4 linked regions of the Alligator mississippiensis genome follow. The protein of the gene in region 2 interacts with the protein of the main gene of each other region in a pairwise test. Links are inferred from orthologs where the notes say so. Each region holds a gene or a part of one and is shown on either strand. Other genes may lie near its edges. The genes, in order: SPG21, TRIM54, MYO5B and MFAP1.

The links.
Region 1: the proteins of TRIM54 (region 2) and SPG21 interact in binary tests that used the Homo sapiens proteins (3 or more experiments, as listed by UniProt). The two-hybrid records come from large-scale screens. The link is inferred for Alligator mississippiensis from reciprocal best matches to the Homo sapiens genes TRIM54 and SPG21.
Region 3: the proteins of TRIM54 (region 2) and MYO5B interact in binary tests that used the Homo sapiens proteins (3 or more experiments, as listed by UniProt). The two-hybrid records come from large-scale screens. The link is inferred for Alligator mississippiensis from reciprocal best matches to the Homo sapiens genes TRIM54 and MYO5B.
Region 4: the proteins of TRIM54 (region 2) and MFAP1 interact in binary tests that used the Homo sapiens proteins (3 or more experiments, as listed by UniProt). The two-hybrid records come from large-scale screens. The link is inferred for Alligator mississippiensis from reciprocal best matches to the Homo sapiens genes TRIM54 and MFAP1.

The regions. Positions count from the first base shown.
Region 1 is NC_081834.1:6,522,833-6,530,703, reverse strand, and holds the start of SPG21 (maspardin), read right to left. Parts: upstream 3,013-7,871; 5' UTR 2,907-3,012; intron 2,651-2,906; exon of another isoform or gene 2,375-2,650; intron 360-2,374; 5' UTR 282-359; intron 57-281; 5' UTR 31-56; coding exon 1-30. Other genes in the region: CLPX (ATP-dependent Clp protease ATP-binding subunit clpX-like, mitochondrial), read left to right, coding at 7,734-7,788. UniProt on the Homo sapiens protein: May play a role as a negative regulatory factor in CD4-dependent T-cell activation.
Region 2 is NC_081824.1:196,419-203,296, forward strand, and holds the start of TRIM54 (tripartite motif-containing protein 54), read right to left. Parts: upstream 3,009-6,878; 5' UTR 878-3,008; coding exon 710-877; intron 1-709. Other genes in the region: DNAJC5G (dnaJ homolog subfamily C member 5G), read right to left, coding at 3,925-4,013, 5,276-5,429, 5,600-5,813, 6,203-6,315. UniProt on the Homo sapiens protein: May bind and stabilize microtubules during myotubes formation.
Region 3 is NC_081826.1:288,437,918-288,445,389, forward strand, and holds the start of MYO5B (unconventional myosin-Vb), read left to right. Parts: upstream 1-4,456; 5' UTR 4,457-4,538; coding exon 4,539-4,565; intron 4,566-4,770; exon of another isoform or gene 4,771-5,630; intron 5,631-7,472. UniProt on the Homo sapiens protein: May be involved in vesicular trafficking via its association with the CART complex. The CART complex is necessary for efficient transferrin receptor recycling but not for EGFR degradation.
Region 4 is NC_081834.1:741,843-749,553, forward strand, and holds the start of MFAP1 (microfibrillar-associated protein 1), read right to left. Parts: upstream 3,013-7,711; 5' UTR 2,898-3,012; coding exon 2,819-2,897; intron 2,710-2,818; coding exon 2,490-2,709; intron 1,094-2,489; coding exon 964-1,093; intron 582-963; coding exon 394-581; intron 1-393. Other genes in the region: furin, read left to right, coding at 7,061-7,240. UniProt on the Homo sapiens protein: Involved in pre-mRNA splicing as a component of the spliceosome.

The sequences.
Region 1 (7,871 bases), on a different chromosome or scaffold from region 2:
ATAGTCAGGAGAGACTTTAATCTCTCCCATGATGTTTAGATGAAACTTAGGTAAACCTGAAACAAAGATATGGCATCTTTTAGGCAAAGAATGCAGGTTCGCACTAAGCCACTACACTGAAGCCTTGTATATACAAAGAGTCCTTTCATGATGAAATTTGCTTTTACCTCTTATCAGCTGGTTTCTAATGCATGTCAAGTTTGGTTATCCTTAGTTTTAATTAGAAGCTACTTAAAAGGTATTCAGAAGATACAATCACTAGAATGTTTTAATATACTAACCCTCTAATTATGAACTGATGGAGCTTTCGGGGATAAAAAGGCAGCTTTTCCTTACAGACCATTCCAATGGAGCAGCTCCTGAAAGGGAAAGATAGTATTTCAGGGTTTAACTTGTTTTAAAAAGTGGACATTTTTATCATTGCTTCTATTCAACTTTAAACAGTTCAGAAAAGGGGCTATAAATGCCCACGTATTTCATGCCTTGCCCTCCAATTATTCAAGTATATAGGACACATGCTCTAATTCAACTGTAACTAACATAAGCATTTCTTGAAAGCAAGCTTCAACACTACCTCCATATTACTCGATACCTGTTCTACAGAACAGTCAAAGCTTCAGGGCATCTCTTCACAGAGAAGCCGACCAAAACAGCAACATCCAACAGTTGTTCCACATAATTAGTGTACTTATTCCAAAAAAAAAATTATTCCAGAAAAATAACTGTTTTCCCAGCCAAAGTAATAATTCTAAAATTAAAACAGAGTTTATTCCAGAAGTGTCCACACACGGAGCTTTATTCTGAAATAGCTATTGTAGATGGACTATTCCCACTACAGCCAATTCCCCCCAGACAAAGAAGCATTAACAAAATTACCCATATATTGAGGTTTCATGTTCTATATAGGACACAATTTGTTTGCAATAATGAAATCAAGACTAGCCTAGTGAAACGCCATGGCACTGATAGATTAAGCACTTTTATTTGTATACCAAATAACACTGGATAATTCTTAAAACTGGGGCTATATTCTGACTGCTTGTAACCTGTTGCTTGAAAGGGAAATTCTGCCCCAGAGATTCATTTAATTTCACAGTGTACAGAGCATAAGAAAATAAGGTGTTTGCTCTTTTAATCAAATATTCAGATATAATTAAATGGGTACTGACTCTCATTTCTAATCAGAATTGTCATATATTCCACTCAATTTCTCTCTGTAGACAAGACCCTAAATGAAGGAAATTCACCTCATCTGTTCCCACCACTATACAAAAAAAGCAATTAAGATACAGCTCTTTTGAATTCAATCCCAGTTTGCTAGTTTATAAACAGATGGAACAAACAGTGAAGAAACACTTACTAGAAACATGAAGTACATGCCTCTTACCTACTATTTTCCAAACTGCAAAAAGTATTTCATTTTCACCACATCACAAATATTTCCAGATTGGGTGAGAATCTCACCCTACTGGGTTGACTGGTATTTCAATTTTGGATAAGTTCCTGCTTGCGTCAAGTATTTTACCACTTGTGCTAGCCTGGCAGCGCATAAAAGTTAGTGGAGAGCAAACACCGCCTCCAGCCAACAGACTGGCGAGTGAAGCAGGCTCACAATATTACTGGAACGGGAGGACAGCTGGTCATTAGGCAAAAAGAAGAGAGCAATTTGTTCTACTAAATCCCCTGCATAAGTCTGGATTAGCCACTACGCAAAAAACAAACATTTTTGGAAACAACGCTGCAATAATATGCTGCAGAAATTGCGAAAGCAAGCAAAACACACACGGACACCTTAATGCAAGAGCAGTGTATGCTTCACACTGTATTTTAATTTATTATATAGCTGTGGCCAGAAGCCCAAGTCAGGATCTGGGTCCCACTGTGCGAGCACATAAGCAAATTCTTTAGAGAAATGTAAGGAAGCATCCGTTTAGCTCGATGACAGGACTGCGCGCTAAAGAAATGGTTTCATTCATCACAGGATTGAGAGCCAATTCCAGCTCTTCTCCGCTCTCCCTTCTCTTGCTGCCAGTGGTTGTATTAGTGCCATTAATTTAAGTGCAAGGCATTAATTGGCAACCTTAGAGACGGAGTTATTCTAGAGAACAGGACTGGAACAAGCATTTTTCTTTACCATCCTCATGGTCTCACCAATGTACCTGAACACCAACCTGCAGGGGCCCCTTATAAGACTCAAAAGAAACAGTCTCCACACCTTTAAACCTTGGGCTCCTACCAAGATCGTTACCAAAAACCCTAATTGGCATTAGCTGTGGTTTGTCTGAAGCAGAGAGCTACCTAATACGAACCAAACCCAGACGGCAACTACCACACACCGCAAACCACTGCCCCTTGACTCGTGCTCCCATCTTACAGCTATTTTGCTCCGTGCTCGCGCTCCTTCCTATTCGTCTCTGTGCACCGCTACAAAACAACGTCGGCGATAGGAAATTCAATTCCTGCGAGGCTCCTGCGCAGCGGCGGCGGCGCAGGCAAGTCTCCGCAGAAACGCAACGTTAAAAGCCTCCTAGGTGAATAACCATCACCATGAAAGCTTAACCACGACACTTTGCTGGTTATCCGATTTCCCAGCTCATTCAAAGGCAGGGAACATAACGCAGGGAGCTGTCCAGGATGGTGCCACGCACGTCTTTAAAAAAAACCAAACAAGTTTTAAAAACCAATTTAAGGAAAACACTGGCTCTTTGTCTAGGTCCCACAAGCCACGACAGAAATTACACGGGCGCGCGGGCAGCACAGACCCCCCACGCTACCCCTGCCCAGCCTGTGCCCGCGTCCCCACAGACGGGAGACAGCGCCTAGGCAGCCCTCGGCCCAGCCCCGGGCCCAGTGCCCCGCCAGCCCATGCCCATCCCCCACCTTGCCCAACCCCCATGCCGCCGTACCGGCTCCCCCTCACGGAGGAGGGAGTGGGGGGAGGGGAGGAGCGCTCCGCTCCGGACCGCGCTGCCTGCGCCTCCAGCCGCGACTTCCGGGTACCGCCTTCCCGCGGAGCCACGCGCCGGCCACGTGACCACGCGCAGGGGCGGGGCGAGGCGCCGGGCCGCCATTGTTACTGAGGCACAGCCCAGGAGGGGGGAGAGTGCGCATGCGCACGGGACTGGGGCGAGGCGCATGCGCAGGTGTGGCTGTTGCAGGTGGAGCATCATGAAGGTACATCACGAGAGTGGTGTGGGGCTCCTTCCTCTCTTTTCCTGGCGTCTGAGCCTTCAGGGTGTGCCCAGGGTTTCTCAGTATGCTCAGGCTGTTGGGTTTTTTTAAAGAAAATGAAGTCTGGTCTTCGTAGTGCTAACAGGACTCGGAGAGCTGGGGTTGTGGGAGACCGCCAAGCAGCGTGAGGCCTCCAGAGAGCGTCCTTGAAAGCCTGCCCCTTTCCAGCGGCATTTTACCCCCTGGCTAAAGTTCATTGCTGGGGGGCGACAGCGGGACGCACGTGGTCGAACGGCGGCTCACCGTCGGGTGCCTTGAGATCCTTCCCGGGGTGCCTCGGGGCGCCACAGACCGTTAGCGCTGCTAGGTCACGATTCACGAGAGAAATGCTGTTTGCACGCGGGGATCCAGCGTTAACCATCCTGACCAGTTGCGGGGTTTCTTGATTCTTTGCAACAGGGCAATGGCTCTTGTTTTTCTGTAGTCAAACGAGTGAAAGCTAAGAGCTGGCATTTTCTGTGGGAGGCTTTGAGCCTCTGGAGGGGGATCTCGAGTCTGAAAAGGTGGAGAACCGCTGTGCTAAAATTCAAGGGCCAAACTCTGCTCTCCGGTGCAGACTTGCAGCTCTAGTATTGTCAATGGAGGTATCTGCCCGCTTGATGCCACGGGTTTGTTGGTTCAATTTTTACAAAAGAAGCTGATGAAAGTTATGTTTTTCTCGTTTGCAAGCTGGCCATTAGGGTTTAGATCGTGATGAGTAGAACTTGATGTTTTTCAGTGAATTTTGGCTGGTCCATAGGCCGTATCTGTCCTGGTGTGAGCTGGCTCCAGTCACCTTATCTGATATTGGATGGCTGCATAGTTCAAAACTACAGAACTGAGATGGCAGACTGGTTTAATTTGGAGGCAGTTGTGCTTGGAAAGTGGACAGTGGATTTACATTCTCCACCAGGAATGGCCAGGACCAGGGAAAAAAAATGTCATTGACTAATTTTATAGAGCAAGTGTATGTGCAGCTGTTGTGGCATAAACCCACCAGATGGCTCTATCTGGAGAACTGCTCTCTGTTTTAAAAAAAAACACAGTTGAATACTGTTGAAAAGTATTTAATGTCAAGAAAAGAGGTGTCTACAGAGAACAACTCTTCCCTCAGCCATGGCTACACATGTAGAAAGCCTCAAATAAAATGAGATCATACTTTGGAGATTACAGGACTGAAAAGAGTAATAAAATAGTGTTATGTCGCCTTTTCCCTGCTCCATGCACATATCATTTTGAACTTACCCATGCCCCTAAAGGGAATATTTGGATCTAAGTTTGTAAACCAAAATAGCTTATTGCTAATACAAGTTTTGAAAACTGTTTCTTGAAGGGGTTTGTTTTGTTCGGGTTCTTGTTCTGTGTATGGAAAGGAAAAGTAATGAGCTGTTACTGTCACCTACCAGGGGGAAAAAATCACAAATGCAGTATGATAAAACTGAAGTCTGCGATCTCTTGAACGCTGATACACTTGCTGAACTTTTCACACAACAGTTGTCCTACTGACTTCAACAGTACTGCTCATTGTATATATGCTATTCACATGTGCAAATGGTCACTGCATTGGGGTCCTGGCTTATATGATGCATTTCATACAAATTCTCTCTTCAGACATCACACTGGTAGCTTTTCTACTGAGGACCTCTGCACTGTTTGGTGAGCTGGGCCTGTGTAAAAAATATATTCCGTAATACCCTGTTATATGTCAAGGAAAATGGTCATAGCTACGAAATAGGGAGATGTATCCTTCAATGCAACATCCCTGAAAAGGCTCTAAGATTTTAAGGGTTATAGTGGACAAGCAACTCAATGTAAGCATCTGCTATAATGTAATAGCTGACAGGTTTAAAGAAGCCAGACTCAACAATGACATATCTTTTCTAAGACACCTAGGAGCACACAACACCAGCAGACTTTCCTTATGCCTGAAGAGAGGTGTTTGTGCCTGAAAGCTTGCAGGGAACAATTTTTACAACTATTTAGTTTGTCTATTAAAATATATCACATTTACCCAAAGAACTTTGTATTCTTCGATCCATGCACAGGAGAGTAGTGAGGAGGATCAGGAAGGGTGATTTTACCTCTCTAAAAGGTCATATAAGCTTTCAGCTTGAAAATCGCTCTAGTAGAGTTACCAGGTCATTGACACATCCATGTTGAACTGTTTAGGTAGAATAAATAAGGCTGAAGCTAAGATCTCTGCCTTTTCTTGATTGCAAGTCTTCTATTTGGATATTACATGTTAGCACTATTAGATCTCTTGCTTATATCTCAGGGAAGCATCCAGAAAGGGGGATTATGTATGCCATGTCATTCAAAATTCAAAATATTTTTTTTCAATCAAATACAGAACAAACAACTGTAGAAGAACGTTACACAACAAAAAAATGAACCAAGCCACCACAGTTAAGTTGTTCAAGCCAGCAGAATGATGGCAATAGGGTTGTAATGGTGTTTCTGAAGGGAACTGCTATGTTTTGATTTTGGATCTCTTCTCAGAAATGTTCTGTTCTAGTGTTAGGCAGAAGGCAGAATAGAGCTAAGGAGTAACTCAATCAGAGATGTGTAGCCTGAGCTTTTGTGGGACTGAGCTCACTTCATCAGCTGCCGTTGTTAACACTGGGTTGCGGTGATTTTGTTATTTTTTAACTTTTTTTCCCAAGCTTGGCAGGAGCTGGCTTCCTTTGCAGCTTCATTTTGTACCAATTTTTTCCCTCAACCGTGGTCTGCAGTGCCTCAAGCAGTCACTAGTAGCTTGCACTGACAGTCAATGGTCACTGCTGTGGGGTAAGGATTCTTGTGGAAGAGATCTTCTATTGGACCAAGTGCATGACACAAATTAATTTTGTCATAAGAAACCATTAGTGTCCAGGCTGCAGATTCACCAGGCTGGGAAAGTCATGGTTATTATGTATGTTGAAGAAGTGAATCAACTGAACACTGACCAGTTCTGGTCCCCACATCTCAGAAAGAATATAGAACTGGAGAGGGTCCAGGGAAGTTTGGCAATCAGGATCATGAATGACAGAAGCTGGCAGTGGTCAATCTCAGGGTCGGGGGGCACATGCCCACCTGTGCCCCCTTGCGTGTTGCCTATAATCAGGATGATCAGTGGTATGGAGGGGCTTCTGGATGAGAAGAGAGTAAAGAGGCCAGGCCTATTCAGTTTAGAAAAGGGGGGACATGATAAAAGTGTACAGGTTTCCCTCGCCAACCGCTGGGGTCAGGTTCCTGAAAGTTCCCCCTGGTTGGCAAGACAAAAAGCGCATGGGAAAAATGGCAGCCACAGCCACGAAAAACCGTGGTTACTTGAAATACTGTGCTAGCCAAAATGGTGTGTGTATATATATATATATATATATATATATATATATATATATAATATAATATTAAGTGTGGGTACTCAAAATCGTGGTTGGCGAGGGAAACCCGTAAAAAAAAAAACCTAAACGGTGAAGGGAAATGAAATAGGGACTTAATATTTATTCTCACAACACAAAAACTTGGGGTCGCACAATAAAACTAGTAGGTTGTACGCCTAAAGCTAACACGAGGAAGTTCTTTGTCACCCAGCAGCAAACCAAGTGCGGGGCTCAGCGCACGCACAGCTTGGGGCTGACTCAGCGCTGTGCCCGCTCGGCCACGTGGAGGCTGCAAGCGCTGAGTCACCTCTCGCGACCACTATCAGCGCTTCTCCCCGCGCACACGTTTGACCCTCGCGCGCTCCCGTCCAGCGGCCCACAACTCCCGGCATGCAGCGATCCCGGTGGCCCGCCATGCCCCGCGCCTATCCTCTCCCTGCCACGGCGCCTACGCGCCCCAGAAGGCTTCGCGCGCAGGGCCAAGCGGCCGGCGGGCGCGGGGCCCCGCGCGGAGCCTGCCGGGAGTTGTAGTTCTGAGGGGACGGGACGTGAGGTTCGTGACGCCACAGAGGGCTGGGCGAGGCGACGGGAGGTGTTTACTGGACGGGCCTAGTGCGGCGGGGCCGCGGGCCGCCGGCGCCATGTCCGGCTGTAGCACCTGCGCCGCTGCCGCGCGGCTGCTCGGCTCCTCGCTGCCCTCGGCGCACAGAGGTAACCGCCCCGCGGCCGCTCAGCGCCTCCCGCGGGGCTCGGCCTCGCCCCCCCCAGGGCTGCGGCCCCTCCGCCATCTTCCCCCGGGCGGGGGCCTCGTGGGGGGTCGCTTTAAACACCTCTGCACGTTATTATTGTTATTATGGGCCTCATGGAGGGGGTCGGTTTAAAAATCTCTGCACTTAAATATTATTATTATTATTATTATTACTGAAAAACAGTTGCAAAATTATTCTTTGTAAGCTTCCAGGCACAACCCCCACTCCCCTCTTCAGGCATCGGGAGAGCCTTTTTTGGAGCATGTGGTTCTTAACTTAAGGGCCTGCACCGTGTATCAGGGGCTGCGAAATCTCAGCTAAACCTTGCACAAAGAAGCCGACTCCCGCGCTGGTCCCGTTTCTGGTTCTTGTGGCCAGTCCTGCTCCAGCCAAAAGCTTTTCACGTTGCACAATGTTGGTAGGACCCTTAGTCCGGCGCTTCCCGTGGTTCGAAGGGCCGCTGTCAGGTAGGTTGGGCCTTGCAAAGTTCGACCGAGTCGACCGCAACCCGAACGAAACATTAAGAAATCAGAATTGGGTTTTGTTCGGG
Region 2 (6,878 bases):
CCGTGGAGCACAGTGCCCTGCTGCCACCAGCTTGCGAGCAAGGGAGCCAGGAGCTCTGCCTGCTCCAGCCACGGCCACAGGCCACAGCATGGACGGGCCCAGCAGTGCCCCAGCCTTCCCATGGATCCCCAGCCTGGCCTGCGTGTGGGGGGCAGCACCAGGGCCTGGAGCTGCTTGGGGCCATGGGCTGGGAGCCAGCCTGGCCTATAAATATCTAGCTGGTAAACACTGAGGAAGGGCAGGAGGAGCCCGAGCACAGAGGCCAGGACAAAGGGAGGCGGGCTCAGGCAGCACAGCACAGCCTGGCAGGACAGGCCTGGACTCCCAGCCTGGGCCCAGGCCCCCAGAACCCCTTGTTCCCTGGCGACCCCCAGACCCCAGCCCCTCACCTGAGAGAGCTGCCAGCTAGGGGCCAGCCTCCCAGTAATGGGGGCGGGGGGGCTACAAGCACAGTTCTGCTGCAGCGCCCACACACCCTGCAGACAGCCCCTCGGGGACGTGGCTGTGCCTCAGGCCACAGGGACCCGATATGTCCCCACCCCAATCCCAGCCCAGAGCCACAGGGGTGACACAGCATGGCCAGGTGTGACACCGAGTCAGCGCCGGGGGGGTGGGCCAGGCCCAGCCGTGGGGTCCACGTGTCCCCAACCCACACTGCCCCAGGCTCCCAGCAGGGCCATTGCCCTTGTAGCCCCGCCGGCGGGCACACCTGAAAGATGTCGTTGGCACACTTGCGGCACAGGTTGTGCTGGCAGGGCAGGATCACCACAGGCTTGGTGAACATCTCCAGGCAGATGGGACAGATGAGCTGCTTCTCCAGCGTGTCCATGCTCTGCCCGTCCCCCAGCATCGGCTTGAAGCCCACCGCAAAGTTCATCCCCACGGTTGCGTTGCCTGCCCCACTGCACCTCGGCCCCACTACCACCACTGGGCTGCCTGGCCTCGGCTGTCTGCCCCACTACTGCTGTCGGCCTGTCCTGCCGCCCCAGTACCTCAGTATGTCTGCCCTGCCCTTTCTGTCTGCCCCGGTACTGCCGCCGGCCTGTCCTGCCGTCCGGTTGCCCCAGTACCTCTCTGTCTGCCCTGTCCTGTCTGCCCCACTAGCTCCACCGGCAGTTCCTGCTCTCAGCTCGCTTGCCCCGTGCTCGGCCTGCCTGCTCTCTCCGTCCGTCCCGGAGCTGCCCCCAGCGCGTCTGGGGCTCCGCTGCCCGTCCCTGGCCTCTGCCCATCCCCGCAAGGGTGAGAGCAGGGGCTAATTTTAGCTGAGCTTTGTGCTGTGCAGCATCCCTGAAATTCCAGCTCCATTTTTATCCCTGGCTGCGGCTGCAGCTGTCAGTAGCGTCGAGTGACACTGAGTCACACACTCCCGGAGGGAGAGGGGCATGGGGCAGGCAGGCGCCTGTGCTGGGAGAGCCCATGGGACCCCCTACTTGCCCCCCAGCCCAGGGAAGAAGGGTGCTGAGGGCCTTACTAGCAGAGGCTGAGGGCTCCGCCAGGGGCAAGGGGGAATGTGGGGAAGGCCTGGGGGGGTGTCGTGGCCATCAGGGGATAGCCCAGGCCCCAACCCCATGCTCCTGGGTCGCGCTGCAACCTCTGCCACCAGGACAGAGCTACAGAGCTGGGACAAAGGCCCCAGCCCTATGTGCCCATGGAACACCACTGCTCTTGCCCCCAGCAGACAGCCACAGATGTGGCCCAGGGATGCAGGCCCCAGCCCACAGCCCAGCAAGGTCCACAGGCAGTGAGGGATAGCATGGCCATGGGAGCAAGGGGTACTGCTCTCTCCCTGGGGCCTGGGCTTGCTCTAAACAGGGAGCTCCAGCCAGCACACCGTGCTAGGCACATCCCAGGAGCTAGCATGCGATGCCTGGGGACACCACACCTGGGGACATGCCCAGACACCAGGCCACAGTCCTGCAATCACCCTGGGCCTCAGCAAGTGCCCCCTGTTTGGGCCTGGGCTTTGGGAGACAGGGAGCCAGTACATAACTTGGTCAGAGCCAGCACTGCCAGTCTGAAATCTAGCACAGGGTCCTCCCCCAGCACCAGGCCCTGGCCCCCGCACACCTGAGCCCCTCCAGGGAGCTGGGTGCAAGGAGGATGGCAGCTGGGAGAAGCTGGGGCTGAGTAAGGCCCCCTGGCCGCTGCAGCCACCCAGCAAACAGCAGTCCCTAAGCTTCTGTAAACCTGTGAAGCAGACACCAGGGACCTCCCCCATCTTTGCTGGAACCCGCTCGCTAGACCCTTGTTTCTGCTGGGGGCACAGCCCAGCCTAGTGCCCCCCCCCGGCCCCCATCCTGGCAGGGAGCCTCCAGCACTATATTTAGGTAGTGAGGCAGGGCCTGGGCTCCAGTGGTGGGTACAGCCCGTGCTGGGCGCAAGCCCGAGTGGCAGGACACTACCTGCCTTGAACAATTGCAGGTGGCACCAGGCCCAGCCCAGGCACCGAGCCCACAGGCAAATTTAGGTCCAAGCTCCAAGCTGCAGCACAGGTCTCTGCTGTGGGAAGCTTCCCACCAGTGCTGGCAGGGGCAGCCCCCACCCCCTACCCTAGTGTGGCGCAGCCACCTCGCACACAGCCCAGCCCATGGGCCCAGACACTTGCTCCCAGCACTGGCAGCACCACTGGGGGAGGCCAGAGCTGGGGCCTGGTGCCAGAGCCCACCCTAGCCATGATAAGTTCCCCACCCCCTGCCATGCTGTGAGGGGAAAGAGCAGCCAAGGAAGAAGAGGGCAGCCTGCAGCTCCACAGTTGACAGGACAAGGGCCACATCCTCTGGGAACCCTCTGTCTCCCCACTGAGTTAGGGAAGCACAGGGACCCACCAAGAGATAGCCATAGCTGCAGTGATGGGCCGCGATGCCTGATGCCCATGACTAAGACAGGGTGTGGGGCACAGGCTGGGTGAGTGGCAGCATGAGCAGCAGGGCTGAAGCAGACAACAGGACCCAGCACCAAGTGCAAGCAGCCCCCAGAGCAGGTGCAATGGACACGACCTGGGCTGAGGGCACTGGAGACCTGCTGACAGGGGGGCCAGGACACAGAGGCTGCAGCACGGGCAGGAGAAGCAGGGGGTACCCAGCCCCAGGACAAACAGATACAGTGAGGCAGATGCCCTCCGCTCATCCTTTAATGGTGTCTATAAAATCCATACAAAAGGTTCCTCGACCCTGCTGCATTGGGCCCAGGTGAGACCAAAGGGCCTGGGTGGCGGCTTAGAGCCAGGCAGCGCTGGCCAAGCCGCAGGGCCAAACCAGGGCGCAGGAAAGGGGGTGCTACATTGAAGGGGCTGTGCTCCCGCCCCCGGGAGCAGCTTTTGGCACCCAGCATGCAGGGAGGAGCCCTGCTGGGACACCGAGCCCTGCTGCTGCCGGCCGGGGGGTCAGGTACAGTGCTACCGGTCTCACGCATGCCCAGGCGGAGTACGGCCCAGCCGGCCTCCACACACGTGCTTCTCAGGCAGGCTGTGTAAGCCAGGCCCCACCCTGGAGAACATGGCACCCACAGGCCTGGGGACATGGCCAAAGGGGGGACTATAAGGGGAGTTGGTGTGGGGGGGGGTGCTGGTGAGTGGGGGCCAGGCTGGCACAGGGTGGGGCTGCGGCCAGGGTCTCTGGTTGGGCCTTGAGGGCGACCCCCTGCCGTGGGGCTCAGTGTCACTGCTGGTGAAGGAAGCATGGGGAGCTGCCGCAGTACCGGGGGCTCCGGGCTACTATGCAGCCCCCACAACCACTAGGTGTGACCAGGCAGCAGGGGGCCCTGGGGAGCCAGGCTGGCGCTGGCCCCTTTAACCTGAGATTCTTGCTGAGGCAAGGCTGCCGGGCCAGTGCTGCCAGCGCAGCGGGACAGGGATGCCCAAGCAGCAACAACTGGGGGGGAGCCCCGCGCTGAGTCCTGGTGGAGGCGCCGGGACATGGACTAGCCTCATTTTTCTGTTTGGGCTTTGGCGCTTGGTGGGGTCTCTGCTCTGGTAGCTGCTGGTGGGGGCTGTGCCACGATAGGTCTGCGGGGCTCTGCGGGGCAAAAGCAGAGGGTCAGAGACTGTGAGGGGCACAGGCCTCACCCCTCCCAAGGCCAACAGAAGCCAATCCTACATTTCTACCTCTGCCATGGGACTCCCAACCCCAGACCAAGCCAGGCCTAGTCTATGCTTAGAGGCACTGAAGCCAAAGGGGCAGCTGTCCTCGGCTGCCAGAACCTGGGACAAGCCCAGAGGCACCAGCCCAGCACCAGGACAGACCCGGGTGTCAAAAACAGTCACTGGTGCTGGCCCAGATCTGGGGGCACCACCTGAGCAGCCAGGCCTGGGGCACGCTGCATAGCCCGAGGATGGCGGCAGCCACAAGCAGGGCCCTGCATGAGGTGCAGGCCAGCACTGGGGCCTGCCGCAGGCCACCAGTCTTCCCCCCCATGCTCCAGTGGGGCCTTGCTCACCCGCAAGCACCCTCAGCTCCTTCCTGCTGGCCAGCTGGGCTCTGAGGGCAGCAAGTGTGAGCTGGCTGTGCCCAGCGCCACCAGGCCAAGGCCTGCAAGGAGCTGTGGTCACCCCACCCTGGTGCTGAGGCAGCCTGTGCCTAGTTGCTAGCCCGCTGCATGCAGCAGGGAGCACCGCACCATGCCCAGGGCTGGGGGCAGGCAGCCTGGTCCCTTCCCTAGCCACTGGTCCCAATATGAGCAGCCGCCACCTGACCAGGGAGAAAGGTGCTGGGGGCTGCACCATACACAGCACAGCCCCCACCCCCTAGCAGCAGTACCCAGCCAAGCCCTCCCCGCAGGGAGGCGGGGCTCGCCCTACTGGCCACTCCCGGCACTACAGCCTGGCACCAGGCCTGCTCACCTCGGTGCTGGCTCCCAGGGTGGAGGAGGCCTGTTGCCTCTGAGCCGGGGGTGGAGGCTCGGGGACAAGAGCATGCCCTGCTGCTAGGGGAGGGGAAGCTGAGCAGGTCCCACAGGCCCTGCCCAGAGCCTGCTCCAGCCCCGGCTGCCCCACAGTACAGGAGGCACTCGGGGAAAGGCTAGGGAAGCCTGGCACTGCCCTTCCACGACGCCTTGGCTGAGGAGGGGGCCCAGTCCTCAGGGCAGCCAGTGACACCCCGACACGAGGAGCAGTCAACTCCCCGTCCCCCCCAGCTGGGCCCCTGGCGACAGCATCCGGGCTTCCCCACGGGGGCAACAGGGCTCCGTCTCCCCGTCAACCTGGGCCAGAACCCGACAGCTCCAAGACCCCAGCAGCCTCGCCTGCTGCGGGAGAGCAGTGGTGCCCGCGGTGCCTCACCTTCATCCTCAGCGCGGATCTGGGCCTCCAGGTCCTCAGGGTTGACGTACTTGTAGGCATCGTCATCCTCGGGCGGGCGGCAGCGCCCGAAGCAGAAGCAGCAGCAACAGCAGCAGCAGCAGCAAGTGAGGATGCCGCAGCACGCAGCCAGGGCCTGCGCGGGAGCCCCCGGTGAGATTCCCAGGCCAGCCCCAGCGCCCTGGGCTGCAGAGCCTGTCCCTCCCGACACGGGGCCACGGCAGAAACCCTCCTGCGGGCACGGCCCGGCCCGGCACTGCCCCCAGCCCCAGCAGGCCCCTGGGCGGGCGGCACTGCCGGACTCACCTTGAACCACCACTTGGACATGAGGAAGTAGTACTTGACGCTCTCCTCGCCAAACTGCTCGGCCACGTAGAGCCCCATGGAGCCGTACTCGTCGTAGACGCGCCGCTTGTTCTCGTCGCTCAGCGTCGTGTGCGCGTTGTTGATCTCCTTGAACTTCTCGACCGCCTCGGGGTCGTCGGGGTTCTTATCCGGGTGGTACTTCAGCGCCAGCTTCCTGCCGGGCCACGGGGCAGGCGGGGGCTGAGGGGCCGCACGAGGCAGCCGCCCAGCCCAGCCCACGTGGCCCTGAGACACCCCCCGAGCCTGCGCCCTGGGGAGCCGCGCACTCGGCCAGCGCAGCCCTTCGCAGGGGCCGGAGCTGCCCTGCTGCCCCGCGTCGGGCTGGGTCAGGCCCTGGTGCGGCACAGGCAGAGCGGGGCAGCGCCCGGGGCCGAGTACAGTTTCCTGTGCCCCTGCCCCCCCCGCCAGGCTGGGGCCACCCCCGCTCCCGGCGCAGGGACACGCGTGTTGCGGTGCGGTGCGGTGCTCTGCTCCCAGCCCGGGCCGGCCCGGCCCCACCCGCGGACGCGGAACTCCCCGGCCCCGGCTCCGGCGCCGCCCTACCTGTAAGCCTTCTTCACCTCGTCGGCCGAGGCGCCGCGCGGCAGCCCCAGGACGCGGTACAGGCTCTCCCCGGCCCGGGACATCTTGCGCTGCGGCCGCCCGGGCTCCGCCATCCTGCCTGCGGGCGGGCGGGCGGGCGGGGGTCAGCGGCCGGGCCCGGCACCAGGTGCCCCCGGATTTGGCCGCACGCGGCGGCGCAGGCGCCAGGTAAGAGCCTTAGCGGCTTTGCGCCGCGCCCGCCCCGCCTCGCCCGTCGCGTCACGGCCCGGCCCGGCCCGGCCCCACCGCCGCCGCGTTCTGCGGAGCCGCCCAGCCCGGCTCCAGGCCGGGAGCACAGCCACCCCGGAGCCCACCGGCCCCAGCCCCCGCCCAGCCCCAACGCACCGGACGGAGCGACCCAGACCCAGCGCTGCCCCCGGCCCCGGCCCGCCCCGCGCTCACCCGTGCCGCGTCCGCCGCCACTTCCGACCTGGCCGCCCGCACCTTGTACCGCGCACGCGCCACCCCGCCCCGCCCCGCCGGCGCCTGCGCGCTGCGCCCGCCCCGCCCCGCCCCGCCGTGAGCCACAGCCAGGCCCCGCCCCGCCCCGCCCCGCCCCCCGGGAAGCAGCGCGGAGCCGGCGGAGCGGTGACGCTTTATTGGTACAAAACGGCGGCGGCGGCGAGAGGCGCGGAGC
Region 3 (7,472 bases), on a different chromosome or scaffold from region 2:
CCTCTACCCACTGCAGTAGTCTGGCAGTGGGGGCTGCTGCCTGGCTGTGACCTGGTGCTACCTGCAACAGCATCCGCCCCCTTGGACCTGCTGCCCCATGGCTGCACACCTGCCAGACCCAGACAGGGACCCCCTGGCCGACTGGGCTGTGATATGGGCACTGTAGCAGAGTTGCCTGCACCTCTGGGCCAGCTACCAAGAGTGATGCTATTTAATTTCCTGTAGGCCACATGCACCATGTACTGGCCCCACTTAAAAATCTTAGAGGACTTTTTCAGGCCTTGTCCCATCTTCAGTTTGCCTCAATTCTAGGGCAGAACTAGAACTCTGCAAGAATGAGCACGAGAGGCAGGCAGGAGTGGGACACATCCTAACATCATCTTTGATATTCACTTCCAGGTCTTATGATGTCAGTGGCATTATAATATGCACACATATCGCTGCCAGAATGAAACTCTGACAAACGCTTAATTCGGGGGAACATGCAGATTTAGAATTCAGAGACATTCATTGACATGCACAGCAGAGCTATCTCTGTTGCACCCAGAAAAACTTAATTAAATTATTATGTTTATCAGGCTGCTCTCTGCCTCACAGTCAATATTGTTTGAGAGTCAGGGTCATGTTATGAAATGTGCTTCCTAGCAAGTTGTGCAGCAATCGTGCAGTTCCAGTATCTTCTATCAGGTACTGATGATTTTAAAAAATCCATTTTCTTTAGAATAGTATAACCAAAAAAAGACACCTGAACAGCTCAGACTGTTACTTGAAAGACCTGCCACAAAAATCCAATAAAGTGTAGCCAAAAAAACCCAATTCAGTCATAATGCAAATAAGTTCATCACTGTCCCACGCACACTGAAATACATCCTTTTCCTCTTCACCTGTGACCTTGAAGAAAAGCCCTGCAGCATATCCAGAGCACCAGCCAATCCAGGCTGTTGTGGAACGGATGCAGGTGAGAGACAGGTGCATTGCTATGAAAGGGCTCTAGGAGCATGCTTTGATTAACTCCCACTGCAGCAGGATAGCTCAGCCACAGAGGTGTTCTCTCAAATGGTTATTTAGGACTATGAAGGTCAGCGCCAGCCTCAGCAACTTACCTCCACTTGCAATCTGCAGACAGCCAATGTCAGTTATGAAGCACTGATTGAATTGGCCGGTGGCAGGATGCTCCACTTACTAAACCAGCTACTATACCTCAAAGACGTTTTACTTGTATCTTTACAGTGTCAGCTAAGACAACTTTAGTTGCTGGCTAGAAGACTGCAAGGCTTACCCTCCAGTATGGACCTTGTCACTGTAACATTTCTCATCGTTGTCAAGTGGAAATGCAGGAGGCAGAAGCACAAGTCAAGCACCAAGGCTAGGAAAGCGCAGAACTGTTTCACAAGGGTGGGGATACATGGCTTAAAAGCAGACACTTAGGGACAGCTACAAACTGGAGAAGCTACAGGTAGCCAAAATTCAGTTGAAACAAGTGGGGTAGTGGGGTTATACCTTAGTGCTCAGTGACCTGCAGCCAATGGCTCAAATGGACTCGACCAGGAGTCAGGATGCTCTTGGCAGACTTTACATTGGATGCAAGCTATTGGGCCAACAGCGCTTGGTATCTTGAATGCATGGTCCTAAAATGACATTGCTTTGCTCTTCCCGAGCATTTGGGAGATGGCTCCATGTTTTCAGCAGACATCTGCAAATCAAGTGTAAAAGTTTGTTTCCAGAATGGAAACAAATTTTAATTTTCCCAGAGAATTTTGTAGAAGCCAGGACTTCCAGCAAATTTCTGAGTCTTGTTTTACTTGCAATTAACGTTTTAAATGAGTGCAATAAATTCGCTAATCTATATTTCATGTGAATTGCTGTGTTTTGCATCTGTGCCGTTATCTGTGCCCAGCTCTCATTTTCAGTTTTGTTCCTAATGATATTGGTATTTCCTATTCCTTTTCCATGTTTGATATAGAATCACAGAACTGAATAAAAGAACAAGAGCAAGTTAGGCTTACATTAGAAACCCTTTCCCATAACAGTACCCCTGCAATTTATTCCAATTTAGCTACAGCAGTTTCACATATGTGGATAGATATTTGCCTAGATTTCCATGGTAATCTTAAAGGTCTTACAAAAATTACAGTACAGGAATCAAATACGTTGTCCAGGTTAATTCCCAGATTGGAATCAAGTTAGTGCAGCAGTGGTTAAGAAACCCAACAGTATCATGTCTTTAATGGCAAAACCATGGAGAATAGATACGCTGATGTCAACCAAGCCCTCTGCTCAGGCTGTTATTATGGTCCAGATTCACTCACAAAGTGGTAGGATATCTGCTGGGGGCCTATCAGCAGAAAACAGGCACAAGGTCCTCTACAGTTGTAGAGCCTGCAGGGAGGTAGAAGAGCCACTGAACAGGGCACGCTGTTATGGAACGGCAGCTGCGTGTTGTCATGATTTATTATTTCAACCAGACACCTCTGTAGCCCCTGTATGGGACTTACAGCAGCCCTCTCCTGGCTTAAACCCCTTGGAGACAGCCTCTCCCTTCCTAGGAACATACCTGTGGCCCCAAGTGTCACCTGGTGCCAGATCTGTCTCTTTAAATCCTAGACTTTGAAGTGAGACATACAGAAGATTGAAGTTGGAATTGCATAGGAGCCACTAATACATCTCTTGCAAACTGCTACTAAATAAAGATTGCTGCAGAGACTGAGGCTACCCAGAAGAGGGCACAAGAAAGCTCCAAATGGACGGTGTTTGAGAGAGGATGTTCCTGGAGCTAGTCACAGAGCGATGCTGTGCTTAAACTTTATTCGCCGACTATCAACTTCTCACAACACTTTAAATTGACAGTTCTCATATTGATTTTTCCCTGTGTTGTTTCCCACATTTCCCTGAATGTAGCTCTACCTCTGCTGGACCCTTTGCAGTGGGGATCCAGCCTGCAGGCTGCACCTGCTGATTCAGGGCATAATGCCGTGGCGGTAGGAGAGGCAGGCTGTCTTTGGGGTTGCCCTGGTGTGGATGAAGGTTGCCCCCTCCAAGCTCAAATATCAAATCTGCTGCGACTGGCCCCCATGTATCACTCGGGTGCGAGGCAGCAATTGTGGGAAGGGAAAGAGAATGAGGTTTTGTGTTGATGCAAGACAAAAAAAAGAGCATATTTGCATGGTGCCAGGGCATGAGGAGCTATGGGAAAAGGCTGGCAACTGAACTGTTCACTGTGTTCAGACGTGGTCCGCGTTTCTGTTCAGCTACAGCACTGCATGCTGATGACATGCAGCAAACTGCATAATCTCCAGTCATTTATAGGAAACACACCAAAGACCATGAAATAGTATTGTGGCAGAGCACGACCTCCAGTGAGCCAGCTCCTTGCCACCACGGTCGCTGCCCCCATGCTATAGACACCTTAACGTGATTCCTAACAATAACAATTAATAATCCTTTATTTTAACCTTTCCATAGCACCTTCCTTCTGCGGACACAGCACACGCTGCACACATTAACTATGTGACACATGACGAGTCTCAGAAGAAAGAAGAGCTGTGTTGTCTAATGGGCAAAGTGTTGGACTGGGATCCTGGAGACCTGGGTTATATTCATGGCTCTGTCTTGGACCTGCTGGGTGACTCTAGGCAAACTGCTTGATAGATCTGCCTCAGTTTCCTGATCTGTAAAACGGGGTAAAGTACTTTGAGCTCTACCCATGAACACATATTTCACTTGCCATCTGAAGAAGGCAGTTGCTTTGTTGCTGACACTAATGTAGAGCGGTGGTTTTCAGCCTGTGGTCCAGGCACCCCCGGGGTGCACGGACCATCTCTAAGGGGTCCGCGGAAGACAGCGCTGATCAAAAAGCGCGTGGATCCCCACTGACGAGTCAAAGGGTCCGCACCCGCATTTGACATTCCCTTCAAACGCCTTGAGGGGTCTGCCAATGGAGAGAAAGAGGAGTGAAAACCACGGCGCTGGACTGAAAGAACAAGGACTGTCCTCCTTTACGACTGCACGTCCAGTCAGAGGAACGACCCGCGCTGGAGATCAGCCCGGACGCAGCGCCGGCACCGTCCGGGCGCACGACAGGCCCCGCGCGGTTTCTTGTACGTAGCAGAGGAATGACCCTGGCCCTTGGCCGCCAGCGCCTCCCCGGTCCTGGGTCACAGAAGAGCTGGGAAAAGGCACGAGAGACGCGCCGCAGCGCAACACGGGAAAAAAAAAGCAAAAAAAAAAAAAAAAAGGAAAAAAGAAAAGAAAAGAAAGCGCGCGGACCCATTTCACAGGCCCGACCACTGAGGCAGGGCGGGGGGCGGGGCGGGGTGAGGCGGGGCCCGCCTGGGGGCGGGGCGGGCCTTTCCTCCACCTCCACCTCCGCCTCCTCCCGGCTATAAATCCCTCGCGGAGGTCGCGGCGAGAAGCCTCCGGGTGCGGCGAGCGGAGCCGGGCCGGGCCGGGCCATGGCGCCAGCACCAGCCGCGGGCCCCGCCTGACCGCCCGCGCCACCCCCGCCCCGCGCCGCCCCGCCCCGCGCCGGGCGGACGGACATGTCGGTGAGCGAGCTCTACACGCAGGTGAGTCTCTGCCGCCGCCGCCCCTTCCCCGCCCGGCCCTGCACTGCCCTGCCCGGGCTCCCGGGGGCCGCCGTGCCGGGGCAGGCCGGGCCCTGAGGGGACAGCCGGCCGCCTCCCGCCTCCCTGCGACCTTTGCAACCGCTCTAGGTGCCGGCTCCCCTGCCCCCAGCCCGGGGCCAACCGCCGTCCCCTGCCCGCAGCCCACCTGCGCGGGTGACAGCCCCCCTCCCCGACTCGGTGGTCGTAGTCCGACTGCCAGGATTTCCTCAGGACCCGCCTCGGTGGAAACCGTGCGAATGGTTGCGGGGGCCGGGCCGCCCCGAGCCCGGGCGGGCGAGCGAGACGCTGCGCTCCCCGCGCGCGGGCTGTCCCTGGGCAGCGTGGGGTGTCCTTAGCGGTGTCCCAGCCGCACACAGCCACAACGGGATCTGTCCCTGTTCTAGAAACTTATCAACCGTGTCAAAGCAGCATCAAGTAAAAGGGTTAAAGTCAGCAGCACGGCTGTGCTGCGCTGATCCCGGCGTGTCTTGTGGTACGGGAGTAAAAGAAAAACCAAACTCATTCAGGGCGGCTCTCCTTAGTGTCCCAGCCGGTCACGGCACTGATGTGCTTCTGTCTCGCGCTCCTTGTGCGAGAGCCCAGATTTTAAGTGGAGACAGCGTAGGGAAGGATATCGTTTAATATTCCTGGTCCGGTGTTTTGTTGTTTTGGATTTTTTTTATTTGCATTGCTTGGTCTTTGTGTTTTTGTTTGCTAAACGTTCAAGGCAAGTGCGGCTTCACCCTGGGAGGCTGTGTGATCGGGAGTGGAGAGCGTACCCAACTGTATTATCCTGGTTTCTGCCTCCGCTCCTGTTCCTCCTCCTTCCCAGCCTTTGGTGAAGTTCCTCTGCCTCAGCGTCCGGTTGGGAATCTGAGCCATAGGTGCTGGGAGCGCCTGGGGGTAGGACTCGGAAGCTGTCGTGCAAGTGTGCGGTTGTTGATCAGTGTTAAGTGTGGCGCTCGGCTGAGCAGATCCGGTTATGCAGACTCCCTGGGGTCCAGTGCGCGCTGCAGGCCTGTGACTTGCGAAGAAAACTCTCAGCTGAAAACAGCACACAAGTAATCTTTAGAGATCCAACGAGTGTCGGCAGGGGAAAGAATATCTCTTTCTCCCCCCCCCCCCCTTTCCTTCTCCACTGTTAATTGACATGGGGAAGTTGCTAACTAAGCAAGATGCAATGAACAGAGGGAGGTCACTTTTTTCCTAAGCTCAGTCTGATCTTAGTCCTTGCTTTGCCGACTTTGGTTTTGGGGCAGTGGAGGAGAAGGAAACTGCTCCTGTTCTAGGAGGGCAGAATTTCTGCCTGCCTGAGAGAGGCAGGGGGAGAAAAGGTAGCATTGGCTGAAGGCAGATCAGTAAGACTTGTGGTCGGGACGGGGGTAGTGGCAGGTACTTACAATGGTAATACCTGCCGGTCACCGAGGTGCACACCATTCTTTACGTTGCGAGTGCGTGGGGACTACATCGGCGTGCACACTTCTCAGGTGTGTCCCAAGAGCACATGTTGCAGGGGAAACGGGACTTGCTCCTGTGTGATCTGTCCTGGCTCTTTCACATGTTCATCAAGCCCCGCTGGAGCACTGGGAAGGATATAGCTGCTAAGGAAATAAATATGTCCTATTTTTCTCTTGCATTTTTATGCTTGTTCTTTGTTGGAAGCTGCTTCCCATTTCAAATAAGAAAGGGAAGTCTTGTATGCATGGAGGACCTCTGAGCACTCCTACGGACAGGATTGTCTCTCCAAGGGCAGGGGCATGCTGCTCTAGAGAGCTCCGAGAAATCCTTCCCTACCATAAATGTCCTTTCAGACAAGGAGAAATGTGTGTCCTCACATCAGACAAAGTTTCTTTTCCAAAGAAGTGAGCAGAGCCAAATTGCATTGAGTTAGCGTGGTTTTTTTGGAGGATGGATGCTTTTTTTTTTTTTTTAAACAAGGGGCATAGACAGGCTTACAAGAAAAAAAGAGCAAGCTTTATAGATGTTACCAAGTTCACTGTAATCATTCAGGCTACGTCAACAGGAGACTTGCCTGCGTGAGACGGAATGAAAATGGTTTTAGATGGAGAATCCTGCCTTTGTTTATGGGCTTTTATTTATACCTTTTTAATAAGAATATTTCCCTAGGGTCTTTCCATCTGATTCATTTGAAATAATGTGAGGTACAGGCATAGGAGAACTGCATGCCGCTGACCTACAAATAGCTTTTGCTGGAAGGTTGTAGAAGTGCTGGCGTTTTGCTTTGATCCCAGTCGGCGTGGTGGCTCAGCAGTCACCAGTCTGGAATCATGTCTTTCGAGGAATTTGTGCCCGTCTGCCCACCCATACTTGGCTCTGAATGTTAGCAGTTTTTAGTAGTGATCCTGCCCTGAGCAGGTACTTGACCTCTTTCTTTCTATGTACGTCTTCCTCACTGTTTTTTCTCTGACTTCCATGATTTGACTGTACGGCTGGCTGTGTGGTATTGCCACGTAGAATTGTCCCAAGCTTTATGGAAATCTGTTGTAGCATAGTTTATGAACTTTTTTTTTGGTCATCGCCCTGTCGGTGCTAAATAGGTCCATGATCGCCCGAGTCTTGTACGATGAACTACGTTCACGCACGAGTTTCCTTTGGATTGTGTGAAACTATTTCCTGTAAGGAAGGACTTTCAGAGTTGAGCCCTTGAACTGGTGAAGGACTATGGACACTTTCGGCTTCGGCGCGTCACAGCTCCAATTGGAGAGAACTTTCTTTCTCTTTCTTTCAAATGTGTTGACTGTTGTAACTGCACTCCTTGAACATGCCTGAAAGCATGATTTAGTAACTTGAGCAGACCGCAAGGAAGAGATGTAAGAAATTCCCGATTAGCAGAGGACAATAATTTAA
Region 4 (7,711 bases), on a different chromosome or scaffold from region 2:
ACCATGGCGGTGAGGTCACCCCTCTGGGTTGGCTCTAGGCAGACCTGCTTTGTTACTTCCCCACCCAGGCTGTTCAGGATTGGGGGGGCAGGGGAGGAAGGGGGTGATAGTAGCTGATGAGCTGGCTGCAGCATGGCAAGGCTGTCTGGAGCCTTACTGCTCCATGCTCATCCCCTGGGGACCAGAGCTGCAACATGCCAGGCCTGGCACCCAACCTGGGGCTGGAACCCAAGGGGCCATTAGTTGGTTCTCCAGCTCAGGCACCTGTTGCCACTGCTCTGTGGTAGGAAGAGCCACTGCTTCCTCACGCAGAGGTTGAACAGTGGCCCAGGCTGGCGTTCTGCCCTCCACAAGCTGCCAGAGCCTCCCCGGGCAGGCAGCTGTGGCACATACTTGCGGATAAAGACGGGCTTGAGGCGCGGCTCCATCTCGTCCTCGCTGTCTGTGTACTCCTCGTACTCAGACTCCGACTCCGACTCCTCCCCAGACCGGCCCTCATCCTCCAGCTCCATCACCTCCATCTCCTCGTTCTTCCTCTCCTGGGCTCGCTGGCGCATCATCCCGCGGCGACGCTCAATCTCCTGACAGAGCCCACCCCAGACCAAGGTGTCAGGGCCACCACCCTTCCACCTCCTCTGTTCTTCTGCCTCCAGAGCTTCCCCACCCCAAGCAGGGACCAGTGGTCAAGTCCCTTCCAGCTCTGTCACATCACAGACAAAGTTTGTGGCATGTGTTGGACTAACAAAAGCTTCTGTCCTGCTGCCCCCTCCCAGCTGCAGTGAGGACTGGAAGGAGCCTGTCGCCCAAAAGGTCAGTCCGAGCCGCCTACACAGTGACACCCAGCCTCCGCGGCCTTGTCCAGTTCTGCCAGCAGCAGCCTCTGTCCCACCCGGCTGGGAGGCCCGGAGGCACCAGTACCTCCGGCAGCACACTTGCAACCAGCTGCTGCGCCCCTGCACGTACCTCATCGTCGATCTCCTCCTCCTCCTCCTCGCTGCTGTCCTCCCGCTCTATGCGCCACGCCTCTCCCTCCACCTCCGAGTCGCTTTCTCCGACCACTTCTGGCTCCACAATCTTGCGGTGCCGCGCCAGCCTGTGGACAGGCCCCAGACCCAGCACCTCAGTCACCTTGTACCAACGCCCCACAAACCTGCCCCAAGCCTCACCCCAACCTTCCTAATCTACTGTTGTGACTCCACCGGTTACCAGGAGGATGGATCTGGGCCCCGCTCTTCCTTAGTGCCACAGATCAGGCACCTGCATGCGAATCTTACGCAACTAAGACACCACGTGTTTCAATACAGACAAGTGCAGGGTGCTGCACTTGGGCAGTAGTAACCGGCAGCACACTTATAAGATGGGAAACTCCCTTCTTGAGAGCACAGAGGCAGAAAGGGATCTTGGAGTCATCGTTGACTCCAAGATGAACATGGGCCGACAATGCAAGGTCACGGTCAGCAGCGCTAACATGCATCCACAGGTGCATCTCAAGCAGGTCCAAGGAGGTGATCCTCCTCATCTACGTGACACTGATCAGGCCGCAGTTGGAGTACTGTGTCCAGTTCTGGGTGCCGCACATCAGAAGGGATGTGGCCAGCATGGAGAGGGTCCAGAGGAGGCCACCAGCATGATCAGGGGGCAGCAGGGCAGACCCTACGAGGAGAGGCGACGGGACCTGAACCTGTTCAGCCTCTGCAAGAGAAGGCTGAGGGGGGACCTGGTGACTGTCTATAAACTCACTAGGGGGGACCAGAAGGGTTTGGGGGAGACCTTGTTTCCCCTAGCGCCCCCCGGGATAACAAGGAATAACGGCCACGAGTTGTTGGAGAGTAGGTTTAGATTAGACGTCCGTAGGAACTACTTCACAGTCAGGGCGGCTAGGATCTGGAACCGACTTCCAAGGGAAGTGGTGCTGGCTCCTACCCTGGGGGGCTTTAAGAAGCAGCTTGATGTCCACCTGGCTGGGGTCACTTGAGCCCAGCTTCCCTCCTGCCCAGGCAGGGGTCGGACCTGAAGATCTACAAGGTCCCTTCCGACCCGAGTTTTACGAGTCTATGAAGCGTGACAGCCCTGAGTGCCATCAGGCAACGCAGCCTGTGCTGAAGCACAAGCCGCAGCCGACCCCTCGACAGCTTGGGCACTCCCTCGCAAGGCAGCAGGAACCCATTTTTTGTGAACCCCGTTGAGCACCGAGCCGCCGGCCTGCCCGGGAGGAGGCCGCCCCTCCCCTGTGCCACGAGCACAGCCTCCGCGGGGAGCCTGCTCCTCGCTTGCTGAGCAACGCCGCGGCAGCCCGTGGCCTCGCGCAGCACCTCGCTCCTGGGACTTCGGTCAAATAGAAACGCGCTCGTGACGGGCGGCTCTCTCGCCGTAGAAGCACGGCCGGGGGCTGGGGGCGATGGGGGGGCCGCACTGTTACCGAGCGCTTCTGGCGACTCGCTGCCCCAGACGCTCGGCCCGGCTCCCGGGGACCTCGGGGCAGGGCTCACCGCTCCTCCACGTCCTCGCTGATGCGGTTCTGCAGGCGCCGCAGCCGGGGGTCGCTGGCGAAGTCGTCCTCCTGCTCCTCGGGCTCCACCTCCTGCTCCTTCGCCTTCTTGATGAACTGGAACTCCTCGTCCTCCTCGTCCGACGACTCCATGGGCGCGTAGTCCGGCCGCTTGCCCGACACGTAGCGCTTCACCTTCACCTTCTCCATCGAGATCTCGCCTGCGGGCAGGGGCCGGGTGAGCGCCGGGCCCGGGGCCTGGGCCTGCCCCGGCCTCCCTCCTCTCACCCCCGCCCCCCGGCCCGGCCCGCGATACCGCCCCCCCCTCACCCTTCTCGTTGCGGACGGGCACGGCGCCCGCCGTGGACTGGATCGGCGGCTGCTTCATCAGGGCGCTGGGGACCGACATGGCGGCGGCGGCTGCTCCGGGCCCGGCCGGGACCCACCGACAGCGAGACCGAGACCGAGACCCGCTCCCGTCCGCCGGAACCGGAAGCTGGGGACAGCGGAGAAGCCAAGGCGGAAGTCAACTCCGACGGCACTTGAACCCTCACCCCGGAACCGGAAGAGGGCAGCGGTCCCCTCCCACCTGACCGGAAGTGGGGGCTCTGGTCAAAGGAGGGGATAGAGTTTGCGGAAGTGGGAGAGAGTGGCCTGGTGGGGTCGGTCCCGGGGCTGGGGTGGTGCTTGTGCCAAGGCAGGTGGGCGGCTTCTCCCGCCCCGCCCCGCCCCGCGAGCGGCCCTGCCCGTGCCCTGCCCCGTGCCCTGGGCCAGGCGGGCGTAGCCTCTGGCCGCCCCCGGCCCGCAGCGGGTGACCCAGTTTCGGGCAGGCGAGGAGGTTTCTGTGCAAGGCACCAGGTGTCAACCGCAGCCGGTTGCGCGCAAGGCAGGAAACCAGGCCGGGCGCTTCCCGACAGTGCGGGGGAGGAGCCTGGCACCGGGGCACGGGCCGGGGCTGCGTCATGGGCCGCGAGCCCCGTCCCGCTCCTGCCCTTCTTGGAAGAGAGGAAGAGGCCTCTGCTTCCCGGCAGGGCAGGGGTGGCGGTCCTGCCCCGCGCCCGCAGGACGCTGGAAGGGCCCCGCCGTGTCACGGCAGCCGGCGGCAGAAACGCGCGCCAAGTCCCTGCTAGAGCGCGCGTGGGCCTGTCCTCAGTGTGGACAGGGCACTGCTGGGGACGCTCGCAGCACCGGGCCTGGTCGGCACTGTGGAGCAAGCACGGGCTGCTGGGCCCCGGCACTGCTGGGGAAGCCCGCAGCGTTGGGCCTGCCTGGCGCTGCCAGCGCCGCCTTGGCCCCGGCGTGAGCGGCCTTGTCGCTCGGGGTTCCCGGGCAGAGCGGGCGCCGGGCGCAGCAGGGGCGGGCGAGCGAGCCGGCGATGGCGGACGTGCAGGAGCCGACGCCGAGGCTCGCGTGGCCCCTGCGAGCCCGGGGCCTGGGCCCGGCACGCGGAGCAGCTGCGGGGCTGGGGCTGGGGCAGGGGCAGGTGCGCGGCGCCGTCGCAGCCTGGCGCGCGGCCAGGGCCCTGCATGCCTGCCCGGGGAGATCCTGTTTCACAGGCAGCTGCCGGCACTTGCGGCTCGTCCTTTGTGAGCGCGTCCCTGCTGGGGCGGGAGAGCGGTGCCGGGGGCTGCCCTCGGCACGGGGGGAGCAGGGCCCTGGTGCCAGGGCCAGGGCCAGGGCCACCTGGAGGGGAGCCTGGCAGGCGGGCAGCGCCTGGGCGTATGGCCTGCCGTGGGGTCCACGTACCCGCGAGGCAAAGCTCCCCGGGGGCAGGGGCTTGGCTCACGGAGGCCTCGAGGGCAAGTCGCTGGTGGCAGGGTCTGGCGTGGCCCGGCTCGGCCACAAGAAACCCCGCTGTGGAGCAGGCCCCCGGGAAGGGAGGGAGCGCGGAGCCCGCTGCCGCTCCCGCGCTAATTGGCCGTGGCGGCTGGGCGCGCCCTGCTGCGCTCCTGGCGCGGCTCCGAGCAAACCTGCGCGTTGCACAACGCAGCCGTGCTGCGCTGCTTCAGGAGCAAGACGCGCTCCTGCCTGCAGGGCCTGGGCAGAGCCGGTCCTGCAGGTCGCAGCCTGAGCAGGGCGTGAGCTGGCTTAGCTGCGGGGCCACGGCCAAGGCTGCTGTGGGCTCCCCCGGCAGTGCCCGCCAGGATCGAGTGCTGCGAGCTCCTGTGTGTGCCGGCTGGTGCCAGCACCGAGCGCGTGGGGGTGCGGGCACGCGGGGATGCCATCAGCTAGCTGTTTCCCAATCTCTGGCTGCAGAGGAGCGCTGCTCGGGGGCACCTGGTCCTGGCGCTCGCAGCCCCTGTTGCTCCCACCCATCGAGGTACGGGTCCGGCGCGGGTGCCCCAGTTCGTCCCGCTGTGGGAAGGTGGCGGCGCGGCTGCAAGGAGAGACCTGCGCCACGTGACCCCGCAGGTGAAACGATTAGACCCGCTTGGAAACCGGGCACCAGCACGTCCTGTGCTGTGCTGTGCTGTCCCGTCCCGGCAGAGCCTGGCAGCAGGCGGGGGCTGTGCTCCAGCTGGCTCCTGCCCTGGGAGCCTCGGCCTTTGCCCGGGCCCAAGAGGGGCAGCCCCGGGCGGCGCTGCGCTCTGCTCCGGGCAGGCCGGGTGGCTGCGGCCCGAGCCAAGGTGGGAATCGGGCCTTCGGGTGCCACCGGCCCAGGAGTGGCGGGCAGGTCCCTCGGGTGCGCCCCGCAGCAGGTGCCCGCGCCTCTGCCCTGCTGGGCGGGAGGCCGGGGCGCTGGGCATTGCCGCTCCGCGAGCGGCGGCCACGGCCCGTCGGCTGCAGCGGGGCCCCCGGTAGCGACCCCGGTTCAGCCTGGCGGGGGCCGGGCCGGGCCCTTGCCCTTCCCCGCTCGGCCGGGCCGAGCGGGACAAGGCGGCCTGGTGGCGGCCCTGGGCGCGCGGCGGGCAGCGGGCAGCGCCACGTGTGCCCGGGGCCCGGCTCGGCTCGGCTCCCGCCGCTGCCCTTGGCCTGGCCGGGCCCGCGGCTCCTCCCCGCCGCCGGCGCCGCCCCGCGGGAGGAGCGCCCGGGCCGGGCAGGAGGCGGCATCCGGCGGCGCCGGGGCAGGCCGGGCCGGGCCGGGCCGGGCGGGGCGGTGCTGACAGCCGGGTCGTGCCCGGCCCCGTCCCCGTCCCCCGCGCTGGGCCGGGCCGGGCGGGGCGGTGCCGCCCAGCATAAAGGGGCCGCGGCCGCGCACGGGCACCGAGCCGGGCCGGGGAGCGGAGCGGAGGTGAGCGCCGGGGCCGGGCCGGGCCGAGGCGAGGCGGCGGGAGGCGGCCGTGCTGGTGCGCGGGCCCCGGGACAGGCTGGGCCGGGGAGCTGCGGGCGGGCGGTGACAGCGTGTGTCGGGCCCGTGCCCGGGTCCGCCCGGCCCGCTCTGCCGCCGCGCCCGCGGAGGGGGCGAGGGCCCTGCGGACCGGCGCTGCCCGGGGCCCCGGCCGGCCAGGCGCGCCGCGCCGCGCCGCGCCCGGGACGAGGGGGAGGCGGGCGGGCGGGCGGGCGGTGAGTCACCGGGTGTCACCGCGGCGCCGTCTCGGCCGGCCGGCCGGCCGGGCGGGGGGGGCCGGGGCCGGGCCGCACGTCCTCTTGCCGGGTGCTCGGCGCGGGCGCGGGGCTGGAGACCCCCGTGCGGCCGCACCAGGGCTCTGCGGCCCGGCCTCCCCGGGGTAGCCGGAGCGCCGTGCCCAGAGCCGGGCGGGAGGCCTGCAAGCCCCCGGAGGGTCTGCGAGTGCCACGGCTTCCACCAGCGGCTGTCTGGAGGCCCGAGCCGGAGCCAGCCTGAGCTGCTGCGCTGCCCCCCTCCGCGGGCGGGGCCGGGGCCGGGGGTGCTGTGGGGTGGTGTGTGCTGGGCTGGGGGGCACGCAGATGCACCCGCACCGGTCGCCCTTGCCCTGGGGCCGCGGGGCTGCGCTCCCATTGCTGCGGGGGTTGCGACGTGTCGGTCCCTGCTCCCCAGCCGCGGGGCTGGCCCAGGTGACTTCCCGGCTCCGGCCACATCCCTGCTCTGTTTGTACACGCGCGTGTCAGCACACATTGGCCAACAGGCAGGGTAAACAGCGCGCTGTGCTCCAGCACCCGGGCCTCTCGCCAGCCACCGCCTCCACCTCGCGCTCCCAAGCCCGGCAGCAGCTGCCTGGGTCAGCGCCTGCAGAGGAGGCTGCCGGGGGCCCTGCTGCGCGGGGGGCGCGGAGGTGGCGCAGATCGAGCGCTCCCTCTGCCTGCGGAGACCCCCACGGGCCTGGCTTGGGCTGACCTGCGCCTGCATGCTCCTGGCAGCGCCATTGGTCCACCACGCGGCAGGGAGCGGGGAGAGGCAGCCCACGTGCTCCCGGGCGTGTCTAACCACTACTCCTCCTGCCCCCAGGTCGTGGTGCCAAGGTCTGTCCCTGCCATCCGGCTGCTGCCGTCTTTGCCGCTGGGCCCGGCTGCCGCCCGGACGTGAGCCCCATGATCCCTCGGACCGCGGGGAGGCCGGCCAGGCAGAGCAGGCACCTGGGCATGCAGCGGCTGTGAGCAGAAGCGCCGTCGCTGGACCCCCTGCTCCCGGCGCTCGGCCACCCCGGCGCGCTCATGGATCTGTGGCCCCGCGTGCTGCTCCTGCTCTGGACACTGGTGACGGCCCTGGTGCTGCTGGCCCAGGAGGTGCTCGTGCAGCGCGTCTACACCAACACCTGGGCAGTGCGGGTGCCGGCAGGGCCGCGAGAGGCTGACAGGCTGGCCAGGAAGCATGGATTCCTCAACCTGGGGCCGGTGAGTCTCCTCCCAGCCCGCCGGGGGCCCTGCCTTCTCCCCTCACAGCCTGGGCGCTCTGCTGCCTCTGCCCGGCCCCGGGGCCCCTGCGGGAGCTGCTGTCCCTGACGGCAAGGCCAGGCGTGTCTGCCGAGGCCAGGGGCGGGCACCTGGGTCACCCGTTCTGCGCCCCCGCCGTGTGTGCTATTGACTTGTGGCCTGATGGGCATGGGGTGAGCGGGGCCTGTGCCGTGTCGCCCAGGGCCCTGGCAGGGGCTGTCTGCCCTGGGGGACCAGGTGGCTTGGGAGTGGGGGTGCACGGGTCCAGTCTGCCCCGGGCAGGGGTCTCTGGCGGGGGAAGCCTGCGTGGGAGCGAGGAGGGAGCGGTGTGCGGGGCATGGCTCTGGTGCTGCCTCCTGCGGTGGGCACGCACAGCTCGCCCGGCGGGGTGGGGGCCGCACGGCGGGTGCTGAGCCCAGAGCGCGGAGCCTG